Linked DNA regions of Oryctolagus cuniculus. The protein of the gene in region 2 interacts with the protein of the main gene of each other region in a pairwise test. Links are inferred from orthologs where the notes say so. Each region holds a gene or a part of one and is shown on either strand. Other genes may lie near its edges.

Evidence for each region.
Region 1: the proteins of EFS (region 2) and SORBS2 interact in binary tests that used the Homo sapiens proteins (3 or more experiments, as listed by UniProt). The two-hybrid records come from large-scale screens. The link is inferred for Oryctolagus cuniculus from reciprocal best matches to the Homo sapiens genes EFS and SORBS2.
Region 3: the proteins of EFS (region 2) and SH2D3C interact in a two-hybrid assay, tested with the Homo sapiens proteins (2 studies listed by BioGRID and IntAct). The two-hybrid records come from large-scale screens. The link is inferred for Oryctolagus cuniculus from reciprocal best matches to the Homo sapiens genes EFS and SH2D3C.

The regions. Positions count from the first base shown.
Region 1 is NC_091433.1:67,762,143-67,773,077, reverse strand, and holds the start of SORBS2 (sorbin and SH3 domain-containing protein 2), read left to right. Parts: upstream 1-5,752; 5' UTR 5,753-5,890; exon of another isoform or gene 5,891-5,894; intron 5,895-10,935. UniProt on the Homo sapiens protein: Adapter protein that plays a role in the assembling of signaling complexes, being a link between ABL kinases and actin cytoskeleton. Can form complex with ABL1 and CBL, thus promoting ubiquitination and degradation of ABL1.
Region 2 is NC_091443.1:51,684,686-51,694,885, reverse strand, and holds the end of EFS (embryonal Fyn-associated substrate), read right to left. Parts: intron 8,783-10,200; coding exon 8,528-8,782; intron 8,370-8,527; coding exon 8,229-8,369; intron 8,132-8,228; coding exon 7,409-8,131; intron 7,125-7,408; coding exon 7,035-7,124; intron 5,657-7,034; coding exon 5,222-5,656; 3' UTR 4,719-5,221; downstream 1-4,718. UniProt on the Homo sapiens protein: Docking protein which plays a central coordinating role for tyrosine-kinase-based signaling related to cell adhesion. May serve as an activator of SRC and a downstream effector. Interacts with the SH3 domain of FYN and with CRK, SRC, and YES.
Region 3 is NC_091432.1:231,183,235-231,193,265, reverse strand, and holds the end of SH2D3C (SH2 domain-containing protein 3C), read left to right. Parts: intron 1-1,972; coding exon 1,973-2,520; intron 2,521-3,221; coding exon 3,222-3,337; intron 3,338-3,731; coding exon 3,732-3,903; intron 3,904-4,356; coding exon 4,357-4,468; intron 4,469-4,654; coding exon 4,655-4,861; intron 4,862-6,236; coding exon 6,237-6,412; 3' UTR 6,413-6,782; downstream 6,783-10,031. Other genes in the region: TOR2A (prosalusin), read left to right, coding at 7,904-8,054, 8,501-8,766, 9,192-9,367, 9,869-10,000. UniProt on the Homo sapiens protein: Acts as an adapter protein that mediates cell signaling pathways involved in cellular functions such as cell adhesion and migration, tissue organization, and the regulation of the immune response.

The DNA.
Region 1 (10,935 bases), on a different chromosome or scaffold from region 2:
CTGCGGTAGCCAGCATTACCTGATTTTCATAGTCCCCACGGAACGAGAACCTGACCACCTTTTCAATGCATCTTGGAAACTCCTGCCATTCTTTCAGACTGTCTTGCTCCCTCTCCCTAAGCACCAAAACATTCGACCAAGAGAATGATGCATTGTTCTCCTGGAATATTAGACAATGCTACTCAACTGACCTGGGCCACAGAAGTCGTCAAACATTTACAGGGCAACTCACTTTTCAAAGGAATTTAGTGGGAGGGGGAATGCACTCTAGAAAACAATATTCCTGGGAAAACGACATTCACTTCCTTCCTACTGAGATCCTCTGGAATAATGGGAAGTGATGAGGAATCAATTGAGTTCTCTTGGGAAAAAACATTTGAAACAACACACAAAGAAGCCCTCAAAATATATGTGTTCAAAAAGCACACAAATAAAACTCCTTGGAAATCACCAAGGTGTCTGAAAATATTGGATTTAGCTACAATTAGAAATACAGTAATTCACATATATTTTGATTTCTTAGCCAAGACTTATGATGAGCCAGACTGTTCTATATTTCTTGCAGATGACAACAATTGTAAGCTTCACACCAACCCAGCGGACGTGAGTGAGGCACAAAGAGAGCGAGTGTTTGGTCCAAAGTCACACATAAGTGACAGGATGAGGACGCAAGCCCAGGCACTCTGCCTTTAGACTTTCATCTTGTAAGCATTTTCCAAACAGCCAACCAAGAAAGTGAGAAGTAAATACAGACGGCTACCGCATGTATACAGAACTGGGGGTTTTTGCCGTTGCCAATCCGAGCCACGCTCTCCCAGGGAGGATTTCGTGATGTGGAGCTCCCTGGAGCACACAGCACTGTGGTGCCACCTGTACAGGTGAGGATCATTTGGCAGAGTGAGGACGCTGTGCTGACAAACTCTCAGAACTGGCGTGCTCACTTCCCCGGGCAGGGCGGAGGCGAGAGAACGGAAGGCCATTCCTCTACACCACCCGACCCAGTGATCTGGGTTCATGAGAGTCTCTCGTGGGATGTGCGTACCTGCTGGCATGGTTTGGGCTATGTCAGCTAGGCCTTAATGTGCATTGTTTTAACTGGACCACCGCGTAGAACTGTATCAATTTTTATTGTATACTGAGGGAAATAGAAGGAAAAATACAGTAAATCTGGCTCCCAGCACTTTCATGCATTTTCCCCCTCGTCATTTCCATCTGAAAAAGATTCTTTTCATTCTCAAGCCTCTGAAGCCTCTCCTGTGGTTATGCGGAGTTTAAGAAACGTGGCAAACGCAGTGACTGATCCTGCTCTTGACTTATACCAAGTCTTTTTCTTAAAAAAAAAAAAAAAAAAAAAAAAAAGATTTATTTTTATTGATTTGAAAGTCAGAGTTACAGAGAGAGGGAGGGAGAGACAGAGATCTTCCATCTGAAATGGCTACAGTGTCTAAGACTGGGCCCTGCCAAGCCAGGACCAGGAGCTTCATCCACGTCTCTCCTGTGGGTACAGAGGCCCAAGCTCTTTAGCTATCCTCTGCTGCTTTCCCAGGTGCATTACCAGCGAGCTAAATTGGAAGTGGAACAGCTGGGACTTGAACTGGCATCTTACTCCAAGTCTTGTATCAAGTTTCTCATCTTATCCCACCTTGTCTGCTATTCTTGGTCCTCTGAGACTAAGGCTGTGCTCTGCTTTGTCCAATCTTCCTTTGAAATTCCAAAATTGGAGCAGTCTGGAACCTCAGTCAAACCTGTGCATCCCTGGGGAGCTCCCCAACCCCAGCACTACCTCCTGCAAGCTGCAACAGCCATTCGTTGGCCCTTGCTCTGAGGTTTCCACCAGCTCTACCCTCTGCATAGGTCCTGTCCTCCTAGCACCTGGCAATTCCCAGGCTTCCGCCCCTCTCCAGGAGGGTCTGATCCCCAGACCCTGACCTTTCTACAGCTGTTCTGTTGAGCCTCATTGCCCAAAAAACTCTGAAACCTTGCTTGTGCATTGGAAGCCTTTTACATATGCAGATGCTTGGGTCCTGCCCAGACTAATTAAGTCAACTATATTTGGAGACACTGCTCTATATCACTTTCTGTCCAACGCCAGCAAGCCTACAGGCAGCCTGGGATGTGTTTGAAATGCCAATGTTAATTCAGTCTATCAGGGTGGGGCCTGAGATTTTTGCATTCCTGACAAGATTCCAAGGGATAACTTAACAGTGGTCCATGGATCTTTTCTGTCCCCCACTCCACCCTCCCACCCCTGCCTATCTGAAAGGCAGAGAGATGGAGACACAGAGAGATCTTCCATCTTCTGGTTCACCCTTCAAATGCCCCTGGACTAGGCCAAGATTCAATCTCTTGTCTAATATGTATGGTAGGGACACACATACTTGCACCATTACTTGTTGCCTCCCAGGGTGTAAACAGGAAGCTCGAATGAATCAGAAGCAGATTCCCAATGGCTGACCCAAATACTACCCTCCCCACCCACCCTGCCATCCCAGAAGTTGCTTTTTAAGTGCCAAGGCTCAAGACCAGTGATTTCAAAGTGTGGTCAAAAATAATCTAGAAACTTACCAGATGGGAAACATTTCAGGACCTTCCTCAGACCTCCTGAATCAGCAACTGGGAGGGTATGCTCCAGAAAGCTGTGTTTCTTGAAGTCTTCCAGTGATCAGGGTTCACTGCTGTTTGAGATTCATTGCCTGGGTGGCACTGCCCAATAGAGAGACAGCATAAGCCACATATGTAACTTAAACTTTTCTAGTTGTAACATTTCAAAAAGTAAAAAGAAACAGGTAATATAAATGTTAGCCAAATATCTTACTTGACTCCTTTGTCCAAAATATCACTTCGATATGTAATGAAAATAAAAATATTACTATGAAAATTTACATTTTTTTCACACTCAGTCTCCAAAATCCAGTGTGCATTTCATGCTTGCATGACAATTCAGCTTTGTCTAGCCACACTTTACAGACTCAGTAGCCACACGTGCTCATCATACTGGACAGCATAGCTCTAGAATTGTGACAGTGATAATAATATTAATTTCTATCAAATGTTTGCTGTGTGTCAGGCATTACTCAGTTAAGCATTTTATCTGCATAAGCCCGCTGCGCATTGATGCGATTATTTCCATTTTATACCAAGGTGGGGTTATGCCAAAGCCCTTCCAATGCAGGTATTTCCCAGTGATTTTGCATCAGTTTATTTATGGAAGAAAGAATGAAAGCACATATATGTATATAAATCATTAATATTGAATACAATTGTTAAGACTTCAATTGTATTAGATGAAAGTCGCGGCAGTTGAGTAAGTAGAAAAATGAAACTTTACTATCATCTAACTTTTCAAATATGCCTAAAGGTCAACCTGTACTCTTCTGTGACATCAAGTCTGTTGAAAGGTGCTTATGGACAGGCTGTTTGTACTGACAGGGTCCTGGAGGAATAAAGGAGACCTTGGTGAGTGAGTGGGCAGGCTTCCTAAGTGGAAGCAGCCAGCAAGGTCATCATCACCTGTTGGTTCAAGTGCAGATTTTGACATAATATAACTGACAGGTAAAAGCGAGGCAATAGACTTCCTGTAGGATCGCTGTGGAAAGCAGGCTGCTGGCAATCTAAAAATAATGGCTGACTTAGTGAACAGTTAATCTCATTTGTTTCAAACCACTCATAATTCCTCAAGGAAGGCCTATTTTCAAATGTATTTTCCTGTTTGTTATAAATTATCATAAGAAGGGATACGTAAAAATGATTTAAAAAAAGAAACTGAGGCCAGGTGTTCAATTTTGCCTGCAGAATTGGTGATCAGTATCATGACCAAGTAAAACAAATGTCCTGTTTTAAACTGGAAGGTATTTAACACATATTAAAATGTAACAATTTGAAAGAAATGTACAGAAAAGCTCTTTATTCCACAGTGACTTTTTAAGCCCAGTGTATATATTTAAAACAAACTTTAAATATCTAATCAGAGTTTTTTGAAATATAAACAAGTATTGCGTTTTAATCTTAGTTTAATGTAATAGTTTCAATGTAAGGTGTAGTGAGCTGAAGGATTTCGCTATTTTACCTTAGTACTCAGATTAGTCATGTAACTCTTTTTCTACATGTCATAAAAAATCCTCAGTATTTTATTTAACTAGTTTCAGTGTCTTTCAGTTTTTTTTTCTTTTTAGATTTATTTTATTTAAAAGAGTCACAGGGAGAGAAGAAGAGAGAGAGAGATCTTCCATCAGCTGATTCACTCCCCAGATGGTCACAACAGCTAGGACTGATCTGGGCCAGGCTGAAGCAGGTAGCCTGGAGCTTCATCCGGTTCTCCCACGTGGGTAGAGGGGCCCAGGGACTCAGGCCATCCTCTGCCCACTTTCCCAGGCACATTAGCAGGGAGCTGGGTTGGAAGTGGAGCAGGCAGGACTGGAATGGGCATCCATATGGGATACCTGCACTGCAGGAGGGGCTTAAGCGGCTATGCCGAAACATAGGCCCCAGCTTCTTGCTTTAATGGGGGAGAAAGAAATGAATTTGATATGAGCATCTAATCCCTCATAGTATTAATTATAAAATGTATCAAGGAGATTTTTATGCTGGACCAAGATTAGAGAATTCTTTTCCACTCCTCATGTCAAGCCGTCAGCAGGACTTCCTGACTGAGGGTTCTCTGGTATGGGGAATAAATCCTTTATAAAAATGTGCAAATATTTCCTTGGCAGAGAAACTGATTTTCCTTCATAGTGATGTTGTTTAAAAGGCAATAATGAAACTACAGAAGTAGTTCCGATGTGCATAGAATCCTTTTTCAGACACAGCAGAAAGAGATCTGATGTGGAAAAGAGGCTGAAAAGTGTAGCAAATTCTGTTTTTATTTATTCTCTCTGCATGTGTGTGCTGTGAGCTTCTGATGGCAAGAGCCATTATGTTCTCAGAGTGCATGGGACACAGGAGGCTCAGGAGTGCACACCACACAAATATTTGTTGAATGAATGAATGGATGAATGAATGACTATGACTTCTAGATCTTAGTTGGTAATTCTAGAAGCTACATGAAGACTCAAATCTTGCCAGTCATTGTTGGTAACCTCATCTGAATTATTTCTTCACTGACCTCGTAAGGCAGAAACAGGGGTATCTGCATTGTGTCATTGAATGGTCCCCGGTCTCTGCCAACAGATAAGAAATGTCAACAGCTTAACCCAGTAGCTTTCAAAAATAGCATAGTTGATGAAACTGGAAATTTAGGTGCCAGCTAGAAAGAAACCATTTGTCTTCAGCCTTAAGAAGAATAGACTGACGACAGATAGTCCCATTGGGAGATCAAAAATATTTTTTTAAAATATCAGAAGAAAACTCTTCGTTCTCAGTAAAGCATAAATAAGAGCCTGGTATTTTCAGCCATTCAGGTAAAGCATTGTGCAAACTTGAAGGCTAAGGCAAGGCACTGTGTTCCTTTAAGATTCCAGACTAGTTGGTTTGGTGTTTCCAATCATGCTGGCAGTTTTCCTCAAAATTTAAGGGAATATTTGCACAATGAACCAAGTTGTTGTGGGTTTCCTGGCTGGTGCCCCCCCCCCCCAACACACACCCCCTGCGGGGTGGGGGTGGCGACTCTGGCCAGGCATTTTATCCCATTGCAGACAACTCTGGCTGCTGTTCGTGCTGAAAATAGCTCAAAAGCTCTCTGAACGGTAGCACCACCCAGCAGCTGGGATTCTTTCCCCTCTCTTACTTGCCTTCTCTGCCTTTTTTTTTTTCCTTCAGACGCTTGGTTTGGACTTAATCTTAAACCTCTGGAGTTCAAGACCTTTTAAAAAGGGCTAAATAAACAATCTCTACATGTAAAAGGCCACTGACTCCTACTTCCTCTGTTGAGCCCAACTGTGGAACTCAGCTGCCTGTAGGTAAGGTTTTTATTCTGGAATTATTTAATTGTTTTTCTATCCGCTCATGACCAGTGTTTTCAAAATAACTTAATGATAGTGAAAATAAGGGAGGGATCCGAACGATTTCCAGGTAAATACTGTGTTACAGAGTACAGCAGTAGCATCTGTGCATTTTGTGGCTGTAATTTTAAACTTTGCTTGAAGCTCTCTGTAATATTGACCTGCAATAGACTTGACTTTGACCGAGCGCTGGCTCAGAACTCTAATTAAGCCTCATTGCACAAGATGCAGCCAGAGGGCTTTTCAGACATCATAATTTTGATGTTTAGGCTATGTTCTTGTTTTTAAGGGCATTTAAAAAAAAGATACAAACACCTGACAAAGAAAATAGATTAGTAATAGTTCTTGAAAGACAAAGAGTTATATTATATGTTCTGTTTTCATCTGTTCACTGCAAGGGTGGAATCAAAACAGTTGTTTTGAGGGGGGAGATTGTTTTTAGTTTTTTTTTTAATTGTTTTGTATATCCTTAGCACAATTTATGTGGATCAGTTTTGAGAATTTCTTTCTCAAGCCGAATCTTACCTAAGCTAATCTTTTGCTAGGCACATTTGCTGGTGAGTTTGTCTAATGTGACAATAAAATATTTGGGATAGTTTTCCAAGCCTCCCCTCTCTCCCTTCTTTTGCTTGTACTTCGCATTTTGCAAAGTACTTTGATCTGTGGACTTTAACTTCAAACATAACGTTTACTTTGATTGTGGGTATTTACTATGTTCAGTTAAAAGCCTTTTTTTTCCCCTCTTTCTCAGTTTCATGCTTTGATAGCCTTTCTTTTAAATAATTTACTGGGGCTTTGGTCTTTCTCACTGATGAGCCTTAGATTTTACTTCTGTGGGGACCCTTAACCAAGAGAAAAGGGCTTGCTGGCAAGACTTCTCGCCACTTAGACACTGACAACTCACTGCTCTGCTCCAAGCAGATGTGTGAAAGCAGGCAGCAAGTGACGGCACAGGACCCAGGCTGATTCTGTCAACTTGCATGTCCTGCTTCTCAGAACTCCCATGTGCCTTGCTTGCTGGTTTTTTTTTTTTTTTTTAACATAAACACTGAAATCCCTGAAGCTTAAAGGTTTTTCTTTTCTAAAGGAGTTCATTGCTGTCACAAACCACATGTCCAAAGAACATGCATTTTAAATGCATAGTGATTTTTTGTGTAACCAAAATCTTTTTTAAAAAAGAAAAAAGAAAGCAAAGGAAAATTAAAAAAAAAAAAAAAAAAACTAGCAAACCTCAGTAGCCAAAAGTGTGCTCTACTAGTGGAACTTCTGTGTGAGGGATAAAGAATGAAAAAAAAAAAACCAAAAACCAAATTTCCTAAAATGGGCAAATTATAGCACTTACTAGTCATTCAATCCACTTGGAACTGTTCTCTTATTTTAAGGACAGTTCATGTGTGTTTTACATTTGTTTTCTTTCCTGCCTCAAGCACAGGGCCTTTTCAAAGCCCTCAGTGTGATACTGAAGCGAATGTTGCCCAGTGAAAGTGCGCTCTGCTGAAGGTTAGGAATAGGATTTATCTAATGCTGTCGGGAGACCGTTGAAGTGCCAGTCAGTGACAGTGGCTCCACAGAGCTGTCACAGTCTGCGTCCCATATCCTGCACCTTGCTAGGACAACAGGAAGCAAGTGGCCGGCTGCAGCACACGACTTTGAAAGGGTGGGAACGACGGTGAATGCCATGGAAGAGATTCCTTCTGGGTTAGGGGCTCCTGCAATATGATCCCTGGGCTTCTCCTTAGCATGGAAAAATCCAAGCAGGCATTTGCAGTAGCAGTTAAGACCTCTCTTGAGATGCTCCTACCCCCCATCAGAGTGCCTCAGTTGGAGTCCCAGCTCCTCCTTTGATTCAAGCTTCCTGCCAAGGTGCACCCTGGGAGGCAGCAGTCCATGGCTCTAGTAGTTGGCTCCCTGCTGTGATTGTGGTAGACCTGGATGGAGTTCCTGGCTCTTAGTTTCAGCCTGGTCCAACTCCAGCTGTGGTGGGCATTAGGGGAGTGAACCAGCAGAAGGGAAATCTCTATTTCTTTCCGCGTCTGTCTCTTCAACTAAATTAAATATAAATTTTTAAATGTTTGGAAAACATTTTTATGAATTTTTTTTATTTCTAAAACTTGGCACTTAATGGCTACTTCCCCCCCTTCAAATCTGCACTGGAAAGAGCATATTAATCATCACATTTTCTGTGTATAATCACCATTATAAATCCTTCAGTTATGTTAGGTATGTGCTTTGGGCATATAGAAAGCTCCGTCAGTCCTGGGAACCCCTGGCTCAGCAGTGTGCGGTGTGAATGCAGTGTTGAAGGCACTGCAAGTTCCATTGCCAAATCAAATGGCACAAGGATGGTAGACGGCCACTCCACTGCTCTTTCTTCTCCTGTTTTGTTGCTGTTTTCTTTTCTCTGATACGTGTCACCCCTTTAATTTTAACTCTGAAACTTTGGGTTGTTTGGATGTGAAACTCAAGGGGAAACCCAGCCAAAGCCTCTGAGTTTCACACCGGTCCCACATGAAAGAAGTATTCTACCCAGCCTTGCTCGAAACTTGGCCCATGTTTGCCAAAAGTTTCATGAATGTCAGTGAGCCCGGATTTGAAACATAATCCAAAGCCAGGTGACTTCTGGTGACTTTGAGGCTTCATTGTATAAGTATAGAAGCTGTCAAACAAGGACATTCCTTATTTCCATATCTTTTTACAGTAATTTCATGTGGACACACTTTTTTTTTTTCCTCCAATAAACTCCCATTTGTTCCATGATAGTTTAAGTCCAAGTTCAATCCTAATATGAGTTTTTATAGCTGTGGTATTTAAGCATTGGCAAATAGATGTCTGCATTTTACATTCCAACACAGTCTGAACTACCGTGGTGTGAACATGCTGGCATAATTCAGCTGAAAGAAGGAAGTCCCAGGAGACCCGCGGAATGTCTTTCTGTGCTTAAATATGCCCCTGTGCTCATAAAGAACAAACAGCAGCATTTTGTCCAGGTCTATCTACTTGACACTGTGCCTTTTGTTCACTCTCAAAAGGTGGTGTTAAATATACTGGTGGAAAAATAATAAACTTCTAGATTTTTTTTTTGCCTGTTTTACTGACATACTCTCAGGGAACATTGTAACCATTGCAAAGTTCAGTACTATTACTTGTAATGTAGTGTATACCAAGAATAAATGAGTACTCAGTAGACTCAATTATCCTCAAAATCTGGGCAGCCTAGAGCTGACGTGTGTGTTAACAGTCAGATGGGACGTTGTGAAATGGTGTGTGTGTGTGTGTAGTGTGTATGCATATGTTGGTGGGGGTAGGGACAGGTGGAGAGGAAGAGAGGAGAAGAGAGGATTTGTAAGCTTTTTCAGCAAATCTGTCACATCAAACAAAAATAATCAAGTCGAGGATCTGAAAACATTCTTTTCTCTTGTTGATCATATAAATTTGTGTTGGCCGCACATTGCATTTTTTGGTATTATTTTTCTCATTAAAGACTCCCAAGTATTAGGATTCCAGACATAGTAAATAATACCCAATGAAAATATGACCAATTGGGAGAGACCTAGATAGTTGTAGATGAACTTGCATGAGTCAGTCTCTGAAGGAGCTTCGTCGTCTTCTGGCTGCTGTAAGATGCTAAGTCACCCAGGAAGCTTAGAGTTGATTTGCTATTTTCTTAGTGGGAAGGTTTCTAAACTCTCTTGAAGAATTGTTGTAAAAATGAATTTGTTGCTTCACTAACGCCTTAAACAGACTAAACTTAGTAAGATTTGTAGTCTACACTTATTAGAAAATTAAACTGCTATCAGATTTCATGTTGAAAATTTTATAGTCACTATTCTATTTAATACTATGCACTTTTATTTAAGATACAGTTTTAATTTAGCAAAATGATGATAGTTGGTCCGGTTATTGGATAAAGCATTTGAAAACTAGCAGTAACAAAACCTGGGGTTCCTATTCGTAGGAGCTGTAATTTGGCACCAACTTCACTATTCAAAGAGCAGCATTTATTGGTATATCTGAATTGATGTCCCCAAAGTAAGTATAATCAGCAGAGAAAGGGCAGACGCTTAAATGGAGGTTCTGGAGAATGTAAGCAAAAAACAATTCAGAACCTCCTACAAAGAGATTCTCTCAGACCACAAGTTTATTTGTATTCCAGTGTGAGTTATTGCAGTTATTAAGTTCAACTTTCCTGTTTTGAACACAAAAATATTCTTTTACTTTAAACACAAACTATTTTAGGTCAGAAACAAAATATCCATTGTAATATTTTTGTTTTTTTCATTTTTTAAATTTTATTTAAGTTATACAAGTTTCATGTATTTCATATATACAGATTTAGGAACATAGTGATACTTGCCACCCACTCACACTCCAACCCTTCTTCTTCATCCATCTCCCATTCCCACTCCTAATTTTTACAAAGATCGATTTTCAGTTTACTTAATAATCATACAGTTAACCCTACCCTATGTAAAAAGTTCAACACATAGTATGGAAAAAAAAAAAAAAAACATTGTTCCTCAACAGAAGAGACAAGGCCTATAAACAATCATCAAATCTTAAAGTGTTCATTTCATTCCAAAGCATTATATTTTAGTTACTCTATTAGTTAACTTGGATCACCCAGTATTTTCTTTTAGAACAATTTTAAATTGACAAAAGAATTGTGAAGATAGGACAAGAGTTCTCATGTGTCCCACACAAAGTTTCCCCTATAATTAATATCATACATAGCATATAGTGCCTTTGTTAAAATTAATGGGCCAGTATCTACAAATTGTTATTAAAGTCATAATGAACAGTCATATTTCCCTGATTGTCACCTAATGCCCGTCTTGTGTTCCAGGGTTCTATCTGGAATACCATGTCACATTTAGTCAATTATATCTCCTAAGGCTCCCCTTAGCAGTGACAATTTCCTTTCCTTTTTTTCTTTTCCTTGAGATGGCCTTTGACAATGTGAAGAAATGCTATCAGGTGTTTTGTAGAATGTCCTCCTATT
Region 2 (10,200 bases):
TGGGCCAGCAGCGCCTCGAAGCTGAGGGGGCCCGGGGGCACGGCCAGGGACAGGCTGCTGCCCAGCCCGCCGCCGCCGCCCGCCGCGCCCTCCCCCTCCCGCTCGCGCTCGCGCTCACCCTGCAGCTGCTCCGCGGGCACCGCATCTCCCAGGGTCCCGACCTGCTGGGGCGGGGGCAGGAGGCTGAAGCGCAGACACCCGCAGAGCACGGGGAGGGGGCGGAGGGCCGCGGGGGGCTTCGGGGGCTGGGGGGCGCGGAAGGAGGGAGCCGGGAGCGCCGGCGCGGGCACTCACTCCGTTGGAGCCGGGGGTGATCTCTACAGAGCTGTCGATCTTGCTGCTGCCCCCGCCATTCGGCTCGGGGGTCCCGGTGGCCACCCGGGGAGCCAGCTTGCCGACCGCAGGGGCCCTGCCGGCCCGCGCCGAAAGGATGGGCTGTCCTCTGGCCCAGCTGCGCGCCGGGGCCGGACGCGAAGAGCGCGGAGAGACCCCAGTCCGCAGCTCTGCAGCTCGGTCTCCGCGATCTCTGCGCTGCTTTCCCCTCCCCTTCCTCCAGACTCTCCTCCCCTTCCCACGTCAGCAGAACCTTCGGTCCAGACTCTTCGTCAGAGGGGGAGGGGCTGGGGGCTCGGCCGTCGGTTCCGTGGGTCTGCGGGCCATTGCGGTAAAAACGAGAAAAAAAGCTGAAGGATAGCAGTCAGCCCAGACCGATGCCAGAGATTCCTCCTTTGCTGCCGGTTCTTCCCCGTCATTCATTCATTCGCCTCTCCATCCACCAACTCATTTCTTCATCAGTGAAATCTTTCTTCTTTTTAAAAGCATATTGTATTTTTTTGAGCTAATGTGTGTGTGTGTGTTTTAGATTTATTTATTTCTAAGGCAGAATTACAGAGAGACAGAGGTCTTCCTTCTGCTGGTTCACTCCCGAAATGGCCACAGTGGCTGTTGCTGTGATGATCCAAAGCCAGGAGCCAGGAACTCCTTCCGGGTCTCCCATTTGGGTTCAGGGGTGCAAGGACTTGGGCCATCTTCCACTGCTTTCCCGGCACATTTGCAGGGACCTGGATCAGAAGTGGAGCAGCTGGCGCTAGAACCAGTGCCCTCATTGGATTCTGTTGTCACAGGCAGCGCCTTTACCCGCCGTGCCACACAACACTGGCCTCTTCATCCGTGAAGTTTCCTAAATGCCCACTCTGTCCCAGGCCTTGTGCTAGGCTTTGGGGCTAGGCCTGGAGGAGGTTCTGGGAGACGTAGGCACGTATACCCGCGTTTCCAGGCAGCTGATGCACACGGAGACTGGGTAGGCATCGCATGCGACTTTAGTTTCGGGTCTCTGCAAGGAGACTTCTTTGGGTCCCACCACCTCCGTGTCGAGTGACTCTTCATCAGTTCTCCGCGGCATTGGGCACGGTTGACCACCCCTCCCCCTAAACACTTTCTGCCTTGGCTGCCAGGTCTCATGTGCTCCTGGCTTGCTTCCTCCATTTCAGACTCCCTCTGCCCTTCCTCACTGCCTTCATTGTCCGCAGCCCTCAGAGGCTTGGTCCCAGGCCCTCCTCTCACCACACACTTTGTCTTCACCTTGGGACTTGGCCCTCGCCCACAACTGCCACCACGATGCAAAGCCGGCTCCTAGATTGACATCTGCAGCTCCCACCTCTCTCCTGAGCTCCATGAAAGAACAAGCTCTTGTTGGTTTCAGCGTTGCTGACCCACAGGGGCCTCAAACTCAGTATGTGCAAGACCCAACTCACGCTCTTGCTCTCTGCAACCTGCTGCTCATGCTTCCTTCTACGGTGCTGCTACCTGCATCATCCAGTTGTGGGCAGAGCCTCAAGCAAGAGCCCCGGAAACGCCTTCCTTACTCCACGTTGAGTCCTGCCCATTTGAACCCCCAGCTCTCGGTTTGTTCCTCTCCATCCTGACCACTTTCTCAGGCTGCGTTGGGCTTCTGATTCCTAACAGGTGTTCCGCGTCCACTTCCCATCATCTGTTATTTATAGTGCAGTGCAAGTGGAACAGTCTTTTCACGATGCAGATCGGATCACGTCCCTTTCCTGCTTCCCTGCCTGCAGCGGCTTCTCCTCACCATCAAGCTAAATATTAACATTCAAGAGGCTGCACACGTGGTCCTGCACACCTGGGCACAGGCTCTCTGCAGCTCCATCTCACTCTTCTAGTTCTCTACACTAGAGCCACACTGACCTTTCCCCCAGTCTTTCCTACGTTACAGGACCTTTGCAAGACCTGGTTCTTTAAAAAAAAAAATACTTTATTTGAAGGGCAGAGAGAAAGAAGTATTTTCCACCCACTGGTTTACTCCCCAAATGCCTGCAACAGCCAGGGATGGGCCAGGCTGAAGCCAGGAGCCCAGAACTCAAACCAGGTCTCCCACATGGGTGGCAGGTACATGTACTTGTGCCATCGCCTGATGCCTCCCAGGGTGTGCCCTATCAGGAATCAGGAGTTGGAGCCGGAGCTGAGATTGGAACCCAGGTATTCTCACTGGGGATATGGGCACCCTGAGTGATATCTTCGGTGCTGTGCCAAACGCCCATCCTCACCTAGCTCTTATGCCTACCAGGCTTCTTGGCCAAATCTTCCTCATCCTTCAGCTGTCAGCTCAAGCATCTTCACTGCAGAGAATCTATCCATAACCCTTCGAATTGCTGCTCACAGTTGGCTCATGGCCGGCAGCATCTTTATGACCTTGTTGGAAGTGCAGAACACTCCCCTGAGACTCGGGTGCAGTGTTCATGGGTGCGTGTACGCACTTCTCTGGGGGACCTGGTACCTGAGAGGTACATTCTGCTCTCATGCCAGGTGAGGGCTGGCAATGGGAGTCGTGTCAATCTAAGCCGAGCAGTCCACCCAGCTCTTCTACACTGACCCACAGCATCAGCTTGTCTCCTCTGTTGAGAAGTTTCCCGAATAGGAGAAACTTTTTTTTTTCTCCTAATGCATCAAACTGCCTCCCAGCATTTCCCCTCCTTGAATGCATTGCAGCATCTCTTTGGGATTTATTTCAGTAACGTTCCCTGGGAATTCGTTTTTCTGCATCATTCTACCTGTCCTGGAAGATAATCCCTGACTTTTACGTGGTACCAGGTGGCTCATATGCAGTATTGTGTTAAGTCTTTGTACCAACCGTGTAAAACCATATTAAAAAATATTTTATTGGGCACGGCGCTGTCGTGTAGTAGGTTAAGCCTTTGCCTGTGGCGCCAGTTCATGTCTTGGCTGCTCCTCTTCCGATCCAGCTCTCTGCTAATGGACTGGGAAAGCAATGGGAGACAGTCCAAATGCTTGGGTCCCTGCACCCACATGGGAGACCCAGAAGAAGCTCTTGGCTCCTGGCTTTGGGTTGGTCCAGCTGCAGCTGTTGCTGTATTTAGGGAGTGAACCAGCTTTCTCCGTTACTCTACCTCTTAAATAAATAAATAAATAGATTTTATGGAAAGGCAGATCAACAGAGAGATTTCTTCACTGGTTCACTCCCCAAAGAGCTGCAAAAGCTAGGGCTGGGTCACCCATGTGGGTGGCAAGGGTCCAAGTATTCAGGCCACCTTCTGCTTTCCCAGGTGCATTAGCAGGAAGCTACACCAGAAACAGAACAGCTAGGACTCAACTGGGCTGTGCCATGCCAGCCCCTGAAAACCATTATTAAAGCTGAGACCAGGACATGGATGGACCGGCACAATCATCCACAGATACAGAAGTACACGGCAGACCTGAGATGTGAACTGAGACCTGACTCCAAGCTAAGTGCTTGAAATTGTTTGGAAGATGATGGAGGATGGCCTTCAACGCATAGCCACGAATTCTGTTGGCCCCAGGGTATGGCAAATGGGTTTTCCTTTGCCAGGGAAATGAGAAAGGAGATGCATCAGGCTGCCCAGAGACTAAGACTGGGATTGAAATTGGGGTGCCCCTAATCTGTTTATCTAGGGAAGACAAAGAGTGGGTCCATGGCTTAGACCTTGTTCCTCTTGGAGTGGCCCTCCTCCCCCGCCCAGCTAAGCCATAGATTCACCAATGTCACCCAAGTCCTGAGGCCCCTGGACAGCTGACACCTTGCACGGGTCTCCTGCCTCAGCCCCTCTGAAAGATGGTTTGTCTGAGACGGCCAGCAGGAAGTGGCCACTAAGGGGCTAGTTTCTCCTGGGCCAGCTGAGGAGGCAGCCGGGTTGCCTACAGTGTGGAGCTAAGAGGCTGTTGGTGCAGGTGACCTCTGCAGGGCAGCATTTTTGGAGGGTCTTGTGTGTGCAGCCTGTCCCCATCTGCACCTAAAACAAGAAGTCCTGGGGGAAGGCCTCCATGTCAGCCAGCGGTGTCTGCTTCCTGGGACCCTAGTCCTCGGCCGCTCTGGGCTGTGTCCCCTCTGAGTCAGCATCCACAGTCTGAAGTCTCCCTCACTGGCCTCCGTCCTCCCCGAGGTGGTCTCTTCACTTCATCCTATTGCTCCCAGTCACCAGTGCCGCTCCAATCTGGGGTCGGTTGAGTTTTCATGTGCTTCTTTTAACAGACTTATTGCTATCTAGGCCATCCTCACCAGCATGGCCCACTCACCACACACCTGAGAACCAGGCCTGGTGCATCACGGGAATGAAAAGTTGCTGAAGAAGCAAGCCAAAGTCCCCCAGGTTTGTGTGTCCTACAGGCATGGCTGAGGGCTGCCGGGCCCACCTCCCAGGCTCCCAAGAAGCAGAGTCAGGGAGTCAGACAGCAGAGTTTATTGAAGAGCATCCGCCAGAGGCCCGGTCCTCCTGCCTTCAGCAGGGAGGGGCGCTGGGATCTCTCCCAGACTTTCATTCTGGGGACTCCGCGTCCAGCCCTTGCTCCCTAACCCGGAGGCACCGATGCTGGACAGCTGAGTAGCCACGGGTTTCGGCCACGAGACTGTGTGGCCTGCTGAACTTCCAGAGGCAGGTGGCAGGACAGCAACCTCCACCGCCGGCTGAGGGCTCGAGAGGCCAGCTCCTCCCTGCCCATAGGGCCTGGTGCCTGCCCCTGACGAAGCAGGGGATCATATTAAATATAAATAATTTATACAAAATGGCTCGTACAAAAAGCTGCAGGTGAGGGGAGCAACAGACGCCTTTGAGAGGCTGAGATGGCGAGAAGGGGCAGGAAAGATACCTCCACTCTCCTGGCCCCTAGCACAGAGCACCCCCCCCAGGACCTGGAGGAGCTCTGCAGGCCGGGAGGTGCCGAGGGGTCCTCAGGGGGCCAGGCTGGTGAGCAGAGTGGTGAATCGCAGGGCCTGCCCTGCCAGCTCTGCCACGCACTGCGCCATCTCTTGGACGGCAGGGCCAGAGGGGTAGCCCAGGGCAGCCCCCTTGACGGCCAGGACGGTGGCCCGCAAGGCCTGGCCCAGCGCTGTACCTGCAGCCCCAACCTGTCCTCGCAGAGGTGCAGAGGCCGCCAGGCGGCCCAGGGTGTCCCCCACAAACACCAGGCGGTGGGCGGCCACCAGCACCCGCTTGCTGTGAGGCACGAAGAGGCGCGGCGGCTGGTTGGCCTGGGTGCTGCGCATCAGGGCCGCCACCGCCGTCTGCAGCGCGGAGAAGTGGCTCTGGCACTGGCCTGCGTAGAACTGCAGCAGCTGGAGATCTGCAGGGGACAGAGCCAGTGGCTCCCCTGGGCACGGGGCCTCCTGCGGGGTGAGAGGCGTGGTCAGTGCCTGTTCTCTCCGCTGCTCCCTTTCTCCTTCCCTCTTCCCTTTCTTCCTTCCTGTCTCCCATAGGGTATCCCTTTAGCTCGTAGCTCAGCCCATCAGGAAACTTAGATTCTTAGAATCCAGGCTTGATGTCAGAGAGAGCTGTGTTCAAAGAACCTCAACCTGAACTTCAGACAAAACCTCTGAGCTTGTTTCCTTCTCTCCTGGGAGTCGAGTCCTGCACTGCTCAATGTAACATGAAGCACGGAGACACTGCGAACTTCCTAGCAGCCCCTTTAAGAAAACTGAAAAGAAATGAGCGTGTTTTATCCAACTCCAAGTGTAAGGAAATGCTCTCCTTTTTTTTTTTTTTTTTTTAATTTTACAGGTAGAGTTATAGACAGTGAGAGAGAGAGACAGAGAGAAAGGTCTTCCTTCCGTTGGTTCATCCCCTAAATGGTTGCTACTGCCGGCGCACTGCGCCGATCCGAAGCCAGGAGCCAGGTGCTTCCTCCTGGTCTCCCATGCAGGTGCAGGACCCAAGGACTTGGGCCAACCTCCACTGCCCTCCCGGGCCATAGCAGAGAGCTGGACTGGAAGAGGAGCAACCGGGACAGAATCTGGCGCCCCAACTGGGACTAGAACCCGGGCTGCTGGCGCCACAGGTGGAGGATTAGCCAAGTGAGCCATGGCGCCGGCCAGAAAATGCTCTCCTTTCAACATGCAACCAAAATGAAAATTAGGGGGTCTTCCCCATAGGGAAGCTCATAATCTGGTGTGCGTTTTCCATTCACAGCCCTACTGCAATGAGATAATACGCAGCAAGAGTTCAGCGCTTGCCACTGCACACAGCACACACCACAGGAGGGATCGCTATCAATCTGTGCTGGTGCGCACCATCGGTAAATACCCGGTCAATGGCAGCTGTTGTGTTCCGACCACTGGACACAGGGTCAAGGAATGCACCTCGCTTTCCCGAGGCCCAGCAAAATTAACTGACAGCTCCAGAGCCGCAGGCTTCTCAGCGGTGGAGCCGGGATTAGGAGCCAGGTCTCTTAGGAACCCAAGAATCCACACTGAAACGAGCCCGGCTCTGACCCGCAGCCCAGAAAGTCTTTCAGCTCCCCTGGCTGCCTGGTCTCCTGACTCCTCTCCAGCGCATTCTTTCCCCTCTTTCTGAATTCCTGATATCCTTTTCCAAGTTCCAGCTCTTTCCTGTCGGATTCTGACTCCTCTCCACTCCCTGCTTCACGCGAACGCTCACCTCCAGTCTAATCAACTCCCTGATGGCTCAGCTGCAGACGCTCCTCCCAAGTGCCTGCTTCTCCTTCCCCGTCTCCCCAGCCCCCCACTCCACCTCGCCCCCCAGGGTTACCTGCTTCTCCGGCAGCTCCCTCTCCAGCAGTTCAGGCTCCCCTGGGAAGGCCTTATCTTGGGGCCTGGATCCCTGAGCTTTATCCATGCCCTGCAGAGGGGAGCCGGCCTCAGTGCAGAAGTGGGGAGCAGGGCAGTGTGGCCTGCATGGCCTCTCCACCCCTCTGCCTTCCTGCCAGTGCTTTGTCCCTGGACTCCAGGTTTGTGAGCCCTGGTGGCCCCAGGCTAGGTTTAGGGAAGGAGTGGGGCACCAGGCCAAGCAGCAGGGTCCCAGGGCTGGGGGACAGGGAGGCAGGGAGGCTCTGCCTCCGTGGCTGGCCCGCTTCTCTCTGCACAAGTCACCTGGGGCTCTCATGGGGCTGCCTAAGAGCTCACCTTCAGGTGGACGTAGTCATACTCCTCGGCCATCGGGATGCCCTCATACTCGTTGTGGGGTCCTGTGGGGTCGTCCTCCACCTCCCCACCCTCTGGGTCCCCCTCCATCTTGGGGCCCCCGTAGCCAGGCAGGCGGGGTGGGGGTGGAGGCAGGGGCCGGTCCTGGATGCTGCCCTTGCGGCCTGGGGCAGGAGAGGGAGCTGGAGAGGGGCTGGGGGCCTCTGGGACAGGCAGGGCGGGCAGAGGGCGGCGGGACAAGCTCTCGGCGGAGGGCAGCCGGGGCCTGTGTTGGGGTGGGGGGCTTCTGGGCAGAAGCTGGGACAAGGTGTCCAGGTCTTTGGAGGCCGAGGCTCCTGGGGGCTCTGGAGAAGGAGGTGGCTCGGGCCCCAGCAGGGGCACATCATAAATGCCCTCATCGGTGCCTCCGCCCTCCCCGTCTGTCAGCAGTTCCTCGGGTGCTTCGTACAGGTTGAGGAGCGCTGAGGCCCGCTTCAGGTTGGACGGTGCAGTGTAGAGGGGGGGCCCGGGTTCTCGGCCCCCCTCCCACTCTAGGTCGGGCTCCAGCTCTGTTGGTGACTTCGGGGCCAGCGGCACATCATAGGGGGCTTCCTCCTCTCCAGTGGGCTGGGGGGCACCCCGGGCCAGAAGGCGGGAGAAAGAGGCCGGCGAGTCGTAGGGGCTGCTGGAAGGCACACGGAGGGCGGTGGGGGGCACATCATAGACCTGCAGGGAGGAAGCCGGGAGTCACTCTCCAGCTTAGGGAGGGACCGCTCCCCCCAGGACACACCCCATCCCAATACACGTGGGCCCTGGCTCTCACCTCCAAGGCGTCTCCTGGGGCGGCCAGCTGGGTTGCGCTGCCTCTGGGGACCTTGTAGATGGAGTCAGGGGAAGGTGGGCAAGGTGCAGTCAGAGGCCCCGGGGCAGGACAGGGTCGGGCTGGGGGTGGCACCACGTACACCTGGGGATGAGGAAAAGTGGGTGGGAGAGGAAGAGTTTCGGATGAGGGAACTCCGACAGCAGTGGCTCAGAGAGGGTGGGGACAGACTCCAGGCAACACAGAGCCGGGGAGAGAACAGGGCTGTCCTGGCTGGGGCTGGGATGGCTCCCCACTCTCACCTCCTGGTCCTCTTTGCTGGGCTGTGGGGCTTGGGGTGCTGCGGAGAGGCTGGGCTTGGGTGCTGGCCCGGCAGGAAGGAGCTTCACTCTGTTGGCAGGCACGATGCCCTGCTGGCCGTGCAGGGAGCAGAGGCACCAGCCGTCCAGCCCGCCGGCGCCCTCCCTCTGCAGCACTCGCAGAACGTCCCCTCGGCGGAAGGACAGCTCCTGGGGGGACTCGGCCGTGTTGTCGTATAATGCCCTGGCCAGCTGGGCCTGGGGGATGAGGGCGGAATGAGGAGAGGGGTCTTCTCACACACAGCGGCTTATGTCACCCCCTGCTCAAGACCCTGCAAATTTCGAATTCCCCATTCCCCTCCAGCTAAAAATATGAACTCCCGACTGGGCCTGCCCTGTCTCTGGTTCATCACCTGTGTCCTTCCTCTTGCTTTCTATTCCTTCAACTACACAAGGTTTTTTCCTGCCTCAGGGCCTTTGCACTTGATGTTTCCTGTACCCAGAATATTCTTCCATTGGCTGTTGATCTGGCTTTTTGTCATCCTCCTGTTCTGTTTAGGATGTCTCCTTCTCCAAGAGCCCTTTTCTCCACTCTTGTCTCTATTCCAGCTGTGTCTGCCTCCACCCCTCGTTTCCTTCATAACGTGTCACATTGTTCATCGACTGACTTTTTCACCATCAGTCTCTGCTCCTACGTAGGACTGCTGTCTTTCTCGGCTTCTGCCACAGAGACCCACCCCGGACACTTCTGCTGAGTGAATTTCTTCCAAAGCACATGATCAAGTCCTGCCAAGTCCCCTCCGTGCCCTGAATCTCCTCTGCCTTCCCCGAGTCCCCCAGCCATCATGCCTCCCAAACAAAAGGGTTCCTGAAGCAGCTGCAGAGACCCCTTGGAGACTGGGAAGCCCGGTGCAGACGTAGTGCTGAGGCATAATAAGAAAGAAAACAGAAAGCGAAGCAAGTGTTTTGTTGTCAGTCTCAGCGAATAGGGCTCTACCAGAAGAGGCGGAGGTTGCCATGGAGAGAAGTGTGTGCTTGTGTGAGTATATGGGCATGTGTGCAGGGACTGGCAGACTGAGCATGCCACATGCTCATGAGCCTGCTTCGTCTGGCCAGAGCAGCTGAGCGTTCTCCACTGAGGACTCCAGCCTGGGGAATAAGTCACAGATGCAAAGTGGAAAAGATTTCTTTAGACACCGTGCAAGTCTTGGCATTGCTCAGCTCATCCCATTTCATTCTCACAATGGCCACTGTGGGACGAGCCATCACTACCCCACCCTGGGAAATGGCATACAGCTGGCACAGCTGGCAATGCACGATTCGAACCTCAGGCTGTTTAACTGCGAACCTGCACTCTCTCAGTCTCTCACTCTAGGGCCTCCCCGCAATGACAGATGTACCAGGGTATAGAGAGGGCGTGGCGCAAAGCTGAGCCAAGTGCATGCGAAGCCTGCCTTCGATCCAGCTTCCTTTTGCTGTCACCCTTCCCAGCGCTCTGTCCAGGGGGTCCTTGTATAGACTCAAGCTGAAAGGACTCAGCGCGTCAACTCAGCGTCAGCTGCAGTTATGCCTGCTGAACGGCCGAGCCTGCTGGGAGCACCCCTGGCAGTGGCGGCTTCCACAGCGGGGCTAGAGGGCACTGCCGGCCAGCAGCTGCATGGACTCATTCAGTAAAA
Region 3 (10,031 bases), on a different chromosome or scaffold from region 2:
AGGCCGCACTGACGCGCCGGGGGGAGCCTAGCAGCACCGCGATGCCCACGCGTGAGCCACGGACATGGCCTGTTCCTCCAGCCGTGGCTCACGGAGCCCCTACACGGGGGCGGGCAACGTCTCAGCCCCCAGGACAGCCAAGCCCGGCCCTGCCAAGGCCACCGCGGGTGGGACTCAGAGTTCAGTAACCACCGCAGGCTGGCTCCTGAGCTGATCGTCCGTGCGTGGCCTGCGGATGACGTGGTGAATATCCACGTGGCCCTGGGCAGAGAAGGTTCCGGGTGCCAGGCACTTGTGCAGGGGTTCCCAGAGTGTGTTCGGGCATCGGTGAGGCCTGCCAGAGGCCCCGTGTGTTACGGGCTGGGGCCCACGAGCTGCGGAGTGCACTGGGGCGGCTCCTGCCTCACCTGGGGTGGGGGCCTCTGGTGGCTGAGTGTGTCCCCAGTCCCAAGTGGCCGGCTCGGACAGGACTGGCTGGGCTTTGATTTTTTAAAAAAAATATGCTTTGTTCTTTAGAGCAGTTAAAGGTTCCAGCCATGCTGTCCACGTGGCCAGCGAAGCGTCAGGAGCGAGGAGCAGTCCCGAGGTCCCTCTGCCCGGGCTCGGTTGGAGTGTTTCTGTGTGTGTGTGTGTGTGTGTGTGTGTGTGTGTCTGGCCTTCCGGACAGAGTCCCTCCAGCATCCCCCATCGGAGTGCAAGTTCCAGGCCTGGCGCCTCGGCTGCTTTATTTAATTTTTTTTTTTTTTAAGATTTATTGATTGTGAGGGTCTGGCACGGAGGCACAGCAGGTTAAGCCGCGGCCTTTAGTGCCAGCATCCTATATGGGTGCTGATTCGAGTCCTGGCTGCTCTGCCACCGGTCCAGCTCCCTGCTAATGCACCTGGGAAAAGCAGCACAGGGTGGCTCATGTCCCTGGGCCCCTGCACCCATGTGGGAGGCTGGAGGAGGCTCCTGGCTCCTGGCTTCAGCCTGGCACAGCCCTGGCTATTGTGGCCATTTGGGGAGTGAACCAGCGGATGGAAGATCTGTCTGTCTCTCTTTTCTCTCTGTAACTTTGCTTTTCAAATAAAAAAAAAATCAATTTTTTTTGTTAAAGTTTTATTATTTACTTGAAAGTCAGAGTTACACAAAGAAGAAGAGGCAGAGAGAGAGAGACAGAGAGAGGTCTTCCATCCGCTGGTTCACTCCCCAGATGGCTGCAACAGCCAGAGCTGTGCTGATCTGAAGCCAGGAGCCAGGAGCTTCTTCCGGGTCTCCCACATGGGTGCAGGGGCCCAAGGACTTGGACCATCTTCTGCTGCTTTCCCAGGCCCCAGCAGAGAGCTGGATGGGAAGTGGAGCAGCCGGGACTCAAAACAGCGCCCAAATGGGATGCCGGCACTGCAGGCGGCGGCTCCACCCTCTATGCCACAGTGCTGGCCCCATAAATCAATCTTTAAAAATTTTATTTTATTTGAAAAGCAGAGTTGCAGAGAGAGGGGGAAAGAGAGAGAGGGGGAAAAAGAGAGAGAGAGAGCGAGAGCAAGAGCGAGAGAGCGCGCGCTTCCATTCACTGGTTCATTCCCCAGATGGCCGCAAGGGGTCAGCAACTTCCTCTGGGTCTCCCACGTGGGTGCAGGGCCCAAACGCCTGGGCTGTCCTCTGCTGCTTCCCAGGCGCATTAGCAGGGAGCTGGATCGGAAGTGGAGCAGCCAGGACTTGAACCGGCGCCCCTGTGGGATGCCGGCGTCACAGGCGGAGGCTTTACTGGCCATGCCACAGCGCCGGCCCCAATTTCTGTCATCTTAACACCCCCGAGGGGGATGAGAGTCCACACAGGCAGCCCTGGGGGACAGGCGAACCCGGTGCAGGGCACAGCCTGAGCCTGCAGGACGTCACAAGGGCTGCTGGCCCCGGCCTCACCCTGGAGGGAGGACGGCGTCCGTCCCGCCGACGCTGCGGTAACGAGTGCTCTCTCTCTGCCCCTCCGCAGTGACCCGCGTCCACGCCGCCCCCGCAGCCCCCTCTGCCACAGCACTGCCTGCCTCCCCCGTCGCCCGGCGCGCCAGTGAGCCCCAGCTGTGTGCAGGAAGCACCCCAAAGCCCCCCGGGGAGCCGGACAAGGGTCCTCACGCCAGCCCCTCGCACAGCCTCTGCAAGGCCTCGCCGTCGCCGTCGCTCAGCGGCTACAGCGACACGGACTGCGGCCACTACTGCCAGCTCCAGCCTCCGGTCCGAAGCAGCAGGGAGTGGGCGGTGCTAGATGCCTCCAGCCGGCAGGCCAGGAACCACGGGGAGAGGCCAAAGGAACTGTCGGGCCACGGGGCCCCTGAGCGGGAGCGGGAGCGGGAGCGGGGTGAGGCGTTCACTGTGCCCGTCGTGGAAGCCACCTCCTCCTTCAGCCCGGCCACTTTCCAGTCCCTGCTGATGCCCAAGGACAACCGGCCCCTGGAGGTGGGCCTCCTGCGCAAGGTGAAGCAGCTGCTGGCCGAGGTGGACGCCCGGACGCTGGCCCGGCACCTCACCAAGGTGGACTGCCTGGTAGGTGCGGGCGGGGGCTGCGCCTCTGGCCCCTGGCTTGGCCCAGGGGTCGGCGGGAGGAGCCTGTGTCTTAACCACTCTCTCCCTCCGGGCCTCCGTGGTCTCCTCTTAAAAGTGCAAACGCCAAGGGATTCTTGCCTCTGACCAGTGCCGGGTTGGCGCTAGAACCAGGCAGCCCCTGAAACGCAGGGCTCTCGGGGGCCGGATGCCCTTGGGGACCCCAAGAGTCCGAGACTGCGCCTGCGGGTCCAGGGACTGGGCAAGGCCCGGCTCCCCGCCCCCACGCCCCCTAGTGGCCAAGTGAGCAGCAGCCGTGGCTCGTGCAGAGCTGGGCCCTCGGTGTGTCGCGGATGGCGCTTGACCATCTGAGGACCCCAGTTTTCTCTGCGCTCCCCTCGACCTTCAGAGGAGCTGGTTGGTTACACTGGTCCCGGAGCTCGGGAGGCAGGAAAGCTGCAGGGTTAGGCCCAGGGTGAGCCGTGGGCAAGCTCATCTGAGCGTCAGGTACTTTTTACAAACATCGTGACATTGATGCCCCATTTCACAGATGGGGAAACTGAGGCGCCCTCCCGCGCTCCGTGCCACAGGGTTAAGTGGTGGAGCTGTGGCGTCCACACACGCCCCCTGGCCGGCTACACCCTCCAATCAAGCTCGGGTCGGCACCAACAGGAAATTAATCAGCGCTCTGGGCGTCCTTGCAGGTTGCTAGGATACTGGGCGTTACCAAGGAGATGCAGACCCTCATGGGAGTCCGCTGGGGCATGGAGCTGCTCACCCTCCCCCACGGACGGCAGCTTCGACGGGACCTGCTGGAGAGGTGAGGCGCTGGCCGGCCGGGACCCGGGGAGCCCGCGGGAGCCCTCGCCCCTCCGGCCGCGCCCCCACCCCGCTGCCCAGTCACGACCGCGTCATCTACAGCTCGGAGCGACCCTGGCTTCCCAAAGCCTAAGTCCGCGGTCGCATCCTTCGGACCAGTGGGCTCGCTGTCCGTCAGCCTCGGCCCCGCCCATCAGTCCCCCGTTCATTCTTAAAACCTCCACCATCAATCACAAACTCCGCCTGGCGGCCTGGTCCCGCCCCAACCTACACCCACCAATCAGAGGCCATCACCCTGGCCGCGCCTCCAATCCTGGGCCACCCGCGCTCCCCGCCCCGCCCCTTCTCCGCCCACCCCGGCCCCGGCCCCGCCCCCTGACCTGGCACTCCGACAGGTTCCACACCATGTCCATCATGCTGGCCGTGGACATCCTGGGCTGCACGGGCTCGGCCGAGGAGCGGGCAGCGCTGCTGCACAAGACCATCCAGCTGGCGGCCGAGCTGCGGGGGACCATGGGCAACATGTTCAGCTTCGCCGCGGTCATGGGCGCCCTGGACATGGCCCAGGTACCGTGGGGTTCGCCCGGCGAGGCTGGAGGAGCCTGGGGCGCGTGCCTTCGCGATGGCCGCGCACGAACCAGGAGGGGCTGGGGGGCTCCGGGCACCGTGGTGAAAGAGCCAGCGTAGAGCTGAGTTCTCCAAGGCTGGCCAGGCCCGCCCCTGCCCTGGGCCCCCGGCCCCCCTACAGACGGACGAGGGGCGCGAGTTGAGAGAGCGCACGCGCGCCCTGCGTGCTCGGCGCAGTGGCAGGTGTCCAGGCAGCCCCGCGAGGCCGTGGTCTCAGGCGGGGCGGGGTGGCAGGCGCAGCGGGCCGGGAGGGCTGCGGGCTCCAGTGGGGCGACCCCGGCCCTCCTCGCCCAGCACGGCAGGGGTCCGGCCCCGCCCCGTCCGTGGGCACGGCAGGGGCGGCGCGGGGCAGTCCGGCCGCCCCGCTGGCCCCTCACAGCGCGGTCTCCCCAGATTGCCCGGCTGGAGCAGACGTGGGTGACCCTGCGCCAGCGGCACACGGAGGGCGCCATCCTGTACGAGAAGCAGCTCAAGCCCTTCCTCCGCAGCCTTAACGAGGGCAAAGGTACCGCTGCCCACCCCCGCGACCGGGAGGCCCCCGCCCCCCCCGCGACCCAGCGGCCCCCGCCCCTCCCCCGCGACCGGGAGGCCCCCCGCCCCCCCCCCCCCGCGACCTGGAGGCCCCGCCTTCCCCCTCCGCGACCCGGCTGCCCCGCCCCCACCTGACCCTCGCCCCCCCCCTCCCCCGCAGAGGGCCCGCCGCTGAGCAGCACCACCTTCCCGCACGTGCTGCCCCTCATCACCCTGCTGGAGTACGACGCGGCGCCGGCCGAGGGCCCCCAGCCCTGGGGCAGCACGGAGCACGGCGTGGAGGTGGTGCTGGCGCACCTGGAGGCCGCGCGCACCGTGGCGCACCACGGGGGCCTGTACCACACCAACGCCGAGGTCAAGCTGCAGGGTGAGTGCGGGGCCCCGCCGGCCTGCCCCGCCGCCCCTCCCCACGCCCCTCGGGACCCCGCCTCTGCCGCCCCCTCCCCACGCCCTGCGGGCCCCGCCTCTGCCGCCCCCTCCCCACGCCCCGCGGGACCCCGCCTCTGCCTCCCACGCCCCGCGGGATCTGCCTCTGCCGCCCCCTCCCCACGCCCCGCGGGACCCCGCCTCTGCCGCCCCCACACCCCTCGGGACCCACCTCTGCCGCCCCTCCCCACGCCCCTCGGGACCCCGCCTCTGCCGCCCCCTCCCCACGCCCCGCGGGATCTGCCTCTGCCGCCCCCACGCCCCGCGGGCCCCGCCTCTGCCTCCCCCTCCCCACGCCCCGCGGGACCCCGCCTCTGCCGCTCCCACGCCCCGCGGGGGGCCCCATGCCTCACCCCTCTGTCCTGCCCGGTCCCCCTCGCCCCTCTGCCCTCTCTCGCTAGTTCAGGGAGCCGTTGTTAGCGGCAGGGGCCAGGTGAGGGTCAGAGCCCTTGGCTGTCCCTGACCTCCGCCAGCCTTGGTGTTCCCGTCTGTGAAGTGGGCCTCCTGGGCCCAGTTTTCAAGGAGCTGGGTCTGGCCAAGACCTAGAACTCCCTCTGCGCAAGAAGCCTCCCACAGCCCCTCTTTTGGTGCTCACTGCGTTATTTAAGTCATAAAAATTCACCAGAGGAAAACTTGGAAATTACAGCTGAGCAAAAATCAGATTAAACAACCGCCCGGAGCAGGGGCTGGTGCCGTGCGCAGGGGGTGAGGCCCTGCCCAGCGGTGCCCGCACCCAGAGGGGCGTCGCTGGAGCCCGGCGGCTCCACTTCCAGTGCAGCTCCCTCTGTGGCCTGGGAAAGCAGCGGAGGGGGCCCGAGTGCCCGGGCCCCGCACCCACACGGGAGACCCGGACGGAGCTCCAGGCTCCTGGCTTCGGCCCGGCCCAGCCCTGGGCACTGCGGCCATTTGAGGGAACCAGTGGCTGGAAGACCTCTCTCTCTGTCCCTCTGCCTTCAAATAAATCCATAAATCCTAAAAAAAAAATTAACCCATAATAACCCAGCAGTAAACGCTGCAAACATTCTAATGTACATCTTCCCCTTTTCTTTTTTCAGAAAAATACATATTTTTATATTTACTTAAAAATATGTATATATATATAATAGAAAACATTTGGAACTTATATAAAGATACAAAGGAAAACACCTAAGATCTCCCCAAAAGTTAACGTCAATCCTTGAATTTCTTGAAAATTACACGGTGCAGAGGGACAGAGCACCCGCTCATCAGGAATCCCGTGGCGCTCTGGGGGGGGGGGCCCTGCGCGTGGGGGCCGGCGGCCGGCGGTGCCCTGACCCCGCACCCCCTCCCTGCAGGGTTCCAGGCCCGGCCCGAGCTCCTGGAGGTGCTCAGCACCGAGTTCCAGATGCGCCTGCTGTGGGGCAGCCAGGGTGCCAGCAACAGCCAGGCCCGGCGCTACGAGACGTTCGACAAGGTCCTCACTGCGCTGTCCCACAAGCTGGAGCCCGCGGTCCGCTCCAGCGAGCTGTGACCCCGGGGACCTTGCCCTCTGCGGCTGCGGGCGGCACCGGGGGGCAGGGCTCAGAGCACCCCAGGGACACTGTGATCAGCCCAAGAATGTTCTGAGTCCAGCGCCAGGACCCCCCTGCACTTCAGGGTCCTGCGTGGACTCTGGGCACCCCCCCCGCACCCTCCCCGGGTCGCCCTCCGGGAGGAACAGGGACCCCTGCCCCAGCTTCTGCTGCTGCTGCTGCCCCCAGACTCCAGTTTGAGCCAGGGGAGCCCCTCACACCGCCTCCCTCCGCTCCAGGCCTCTCCCCTGCCCTGCTGGCACCGGGTTTACCTGTAAATACGTGTACAGAGCCACGTTCTCTTTCATATAATAAACTTTTATGACTTTCTTCTGTCCATCGGGGCCCAGGGTGGGAGGGAGCCTCTCTGGGTTGGGTGCCCGGCAGAGACTCCGCAGCACCGGGGACGTCGCAGACTGAGCCGGGGGCCAGAGCTACGCCAGTGCTGAAGTCATCGCCTGCCCGGGAGGGACCCACAGGCCCGAGGCGGGGGGAACCCCTAATCTGACCCCTTTCCCCCCTTGAGACCCACACGCCGGCTCCCACAAACCCACCACCAAGGACCCAAGGTGCTGGCCGGGGAAGGCTTTTCCGAGTGCAGGGGGCAGCTGCCGGCCCGGATTGGAGCCGGCTGCAGTGGCCGCCCCAGGGCGCACCCCGGATTGGAGCCGGCTGCAGTGGCCGCCCCAGGGCCCTCTGCACTCCCCAAGGGTGGGAGCAGCTACTCTCCTGCAGACTGAGCTGTGGCCCCGGAGTCTGTGTGTGCCTGGATGGGGATGGGAGGGCAGCGCGGGCCGCAGGACTCCGGGGCTCGCCGGGGGCCGCGGCGGGGTGGGGAGGGGCTGTCCGCAGAGTGGGGTCCCCTGGAGCTGGCCCTTCAGCTCCGGCAAGGCTGGCAGGTTGGGATGGGGCCCGGCGCAGCAGCCGGAGTACTAGCGGGTGATGGCTTCTCCCCTTGAGTGCTCCTCTGAGAGAAGGGGGCCATGAGGGAGCTACGTGTCCGGCACGGCCAGCCAGGTCCCGTACCTCGCGAGGGGTCAGTGATGACCGCTCCGGCCAGTGCCGTAGGGCACTAAGGGCACGCTAAGAGCCACCAGTGCGCGCTCTTTCGTCCTTTACAAGGAAGAAAAACAGCGTGGAGTAAGGTTCCGCACCAGTTCTCCCTACAATTGTCACGTCACCCTCCGAGGGCATCATTCTTTCTGAGCCACCACGACGGCACCTTAGTTACGGTGGCTACGGAAACGCGGATTGGGCGGCTCGCGGGCGCCTCCTAGAGGCCGCTTTCCGGTCCTGCTGCGGAACGACGGGGCGGGCCTTTTGAGGAGGGCGGGAGGGAAGCCGGGAGTTGTAGGCTGCGGGGCGTGGCTTCCTCGGAGCGGTGCACGCCGGGAGTTGTAGTTCGAGGGCGGGGCCAGGGTGGCTCCAGGTGGAGCGCGGGCCTCGCCCGGATGGCGGCTGTGACGCGCGGCCGCCGGCCCTGGGGCTCGCTCCTCGGGCTGCTCGGGCTGGTCTCGGCCGCGGCCGCCTCCTGGGACCTGACTTCGCTGCGCTGCAACTTCGGCGACTTTTGTGAATGCGACTTCCGGCCCGACTTCCCGGGTGAGGAGCCGCGGGAGCCGGGCCGGAGGGCGGGGGAGCGTCGGGAGCCCCGGGCTTGCTCCGGGCTTGCTCCGGGCCGGAACAGCTGTGGACCCAGAGGGCCGAACGGCGGGGAGGGACCCGCGGACTCGAGGGTGGCCGAGGCCGGAAGCCTAAGGGGTCCGGACCTGAGGCAGGGAGCCGAGGCGAGGGCCGGGGTGCCCTTTGGGGTCCAGGAGGGCCGCCGGGGTGGCGGGAGCCGTTGGACAGCAGGGGACGGCAGGGGGCGGGAGGCAGCCCCTCATCTAGGACCCTGGAGAACCGCCTGGCGGCTCCCGCAGCGACTCCCAGGGCTCTGTCCACAGCTGGGACAGACGTCTGAGCCCGGTTCCGGCCGGGACGTCCTGCTTGGGCCGCTGCCTTGTGGGGGCGTGTCCTGAGCGCCGCCTCCGCTTCCGTGGCCCTAGGTCTGGAGTGTGACCTGGCCCAGCACCTGGCAGGCCAGCACCTGGCCAGGGCGCTGGTGGTGAAGACGCTGAAGGCGTTCGTGCGGGACCCGGCGCCGAGCAAGCCGCTGGTGCTCTCGCTGCACGGCTGGACGGGCACCGGCAAGTCCTACCTCAGCTCCCTGCTGGCCCGCTACCTCTTCAAGGGGGGCCTCCGCAGCCCCCGGGTGCACCACTTCTCCCCCATCATCCACTTCCCCCACCCCAGCCTCATGGATCGCTACAAGGTACCCGTCGCCTGCGCCGCCCGGAGCCTGGGACAGAGCTGGCCGAGGTCTCTGATTCGCGGGGGGCGGCAGGGTGGCCGCGAGGGGTCGTGTGGGTGCCCGCGTTGCTGCCGGAGCGCGTGGACCACCGCCGTGGCAAACACGGGCTCTTGCTGCTGCTGCTGGCTCCGCCGCTCTGCACCGCTGACGGTGCGGCTGGGAGCGCTCCCGGGGCAGGGAGGAGCAAGGGCCCCAGGAGGAGCCCTGGACAGGGAGGCGGAGGCCGGCATGGCTGTGTGGCCGCGGGCAGCTGTCTGCCTCTCTCTGGCCCCGTGGCACCGTCTGGAAGGCTCTAGTCCCTGGCAGGGGCAGGCCCGGCTGGGGGGGGACGTCGGGGGCGGAGGGGTACCTGCAGCCGCCCTCCAGCTCCCGTCTCTGCCCCCCAGAAGGACCTTAAGAGCTGGGTCCAGGGCAACCTCACTGCCTGTGGCCGCTCTCTCTTCCTCTTCGACGAGATGGACAAGCTGCCCCCGGGCCTGATGGAGGTCCTGCGCCCTTTCCTGGGCCCCTCCTGGGTCGTGTACGGGACCAACTACCGCAAAGCCATCTTCATCTTCATCAGGTGGGCGTGGCCTTGCTGCGGGCGCCGTGGGGGAGGCACCTGGAGGCCCTGCCAGCCCTGCCCGAGCCCCTCCCGCTCTTGGCCGGTGACAGTCACTCTGGGTGGTTGACCGTGACCTCTCAGGGTGCACCTGGGCCGTTCTGTAGGTCCTGACCCCTTGCGGGTTCCCCCGTGGGGCAGCCAGGGGGACATAGGACAAGCACTCCCGTCCTCTGGTCCCTGCTAAGTCTCCTGGCTGTGTCTTCCCTGAGCTCGCTCCTCCTCCTCTGGACGTTGGCACCGGCATCAGGGCCCCATCGGGCTGCGGGAGGGAGAGTCAGGAACACGAGCTGCCCTGTGACGGGCATTGAGGTGGAGGACAGGGGCCGGGGCTGCAGAGCTGGCCCCGGAGAGGGGTCGGGGCTCCCGCCGGCAGGTGGCTGCGCTCCCGTGCGCCTGGGCCGGGTCTGGCCCCTCACTGCTCCCTGCTCAAGTCACGGCCTGGGTGCCCCACGGTTTCAGCAACACCGGCGGCGAGCAGATCAACCAGGTGGCCCTGGAGGCGTGGCGCAGCCGCCGGGAGCGCGAGGAGATTGGCCTGCAGGAGCTGGAGCCCGTCATCGCCCGCGCCGTGCTGGACAACCCGCACCGTGAGTCGGGCTCGGGCCTGGGCCCGGTGGGCAGG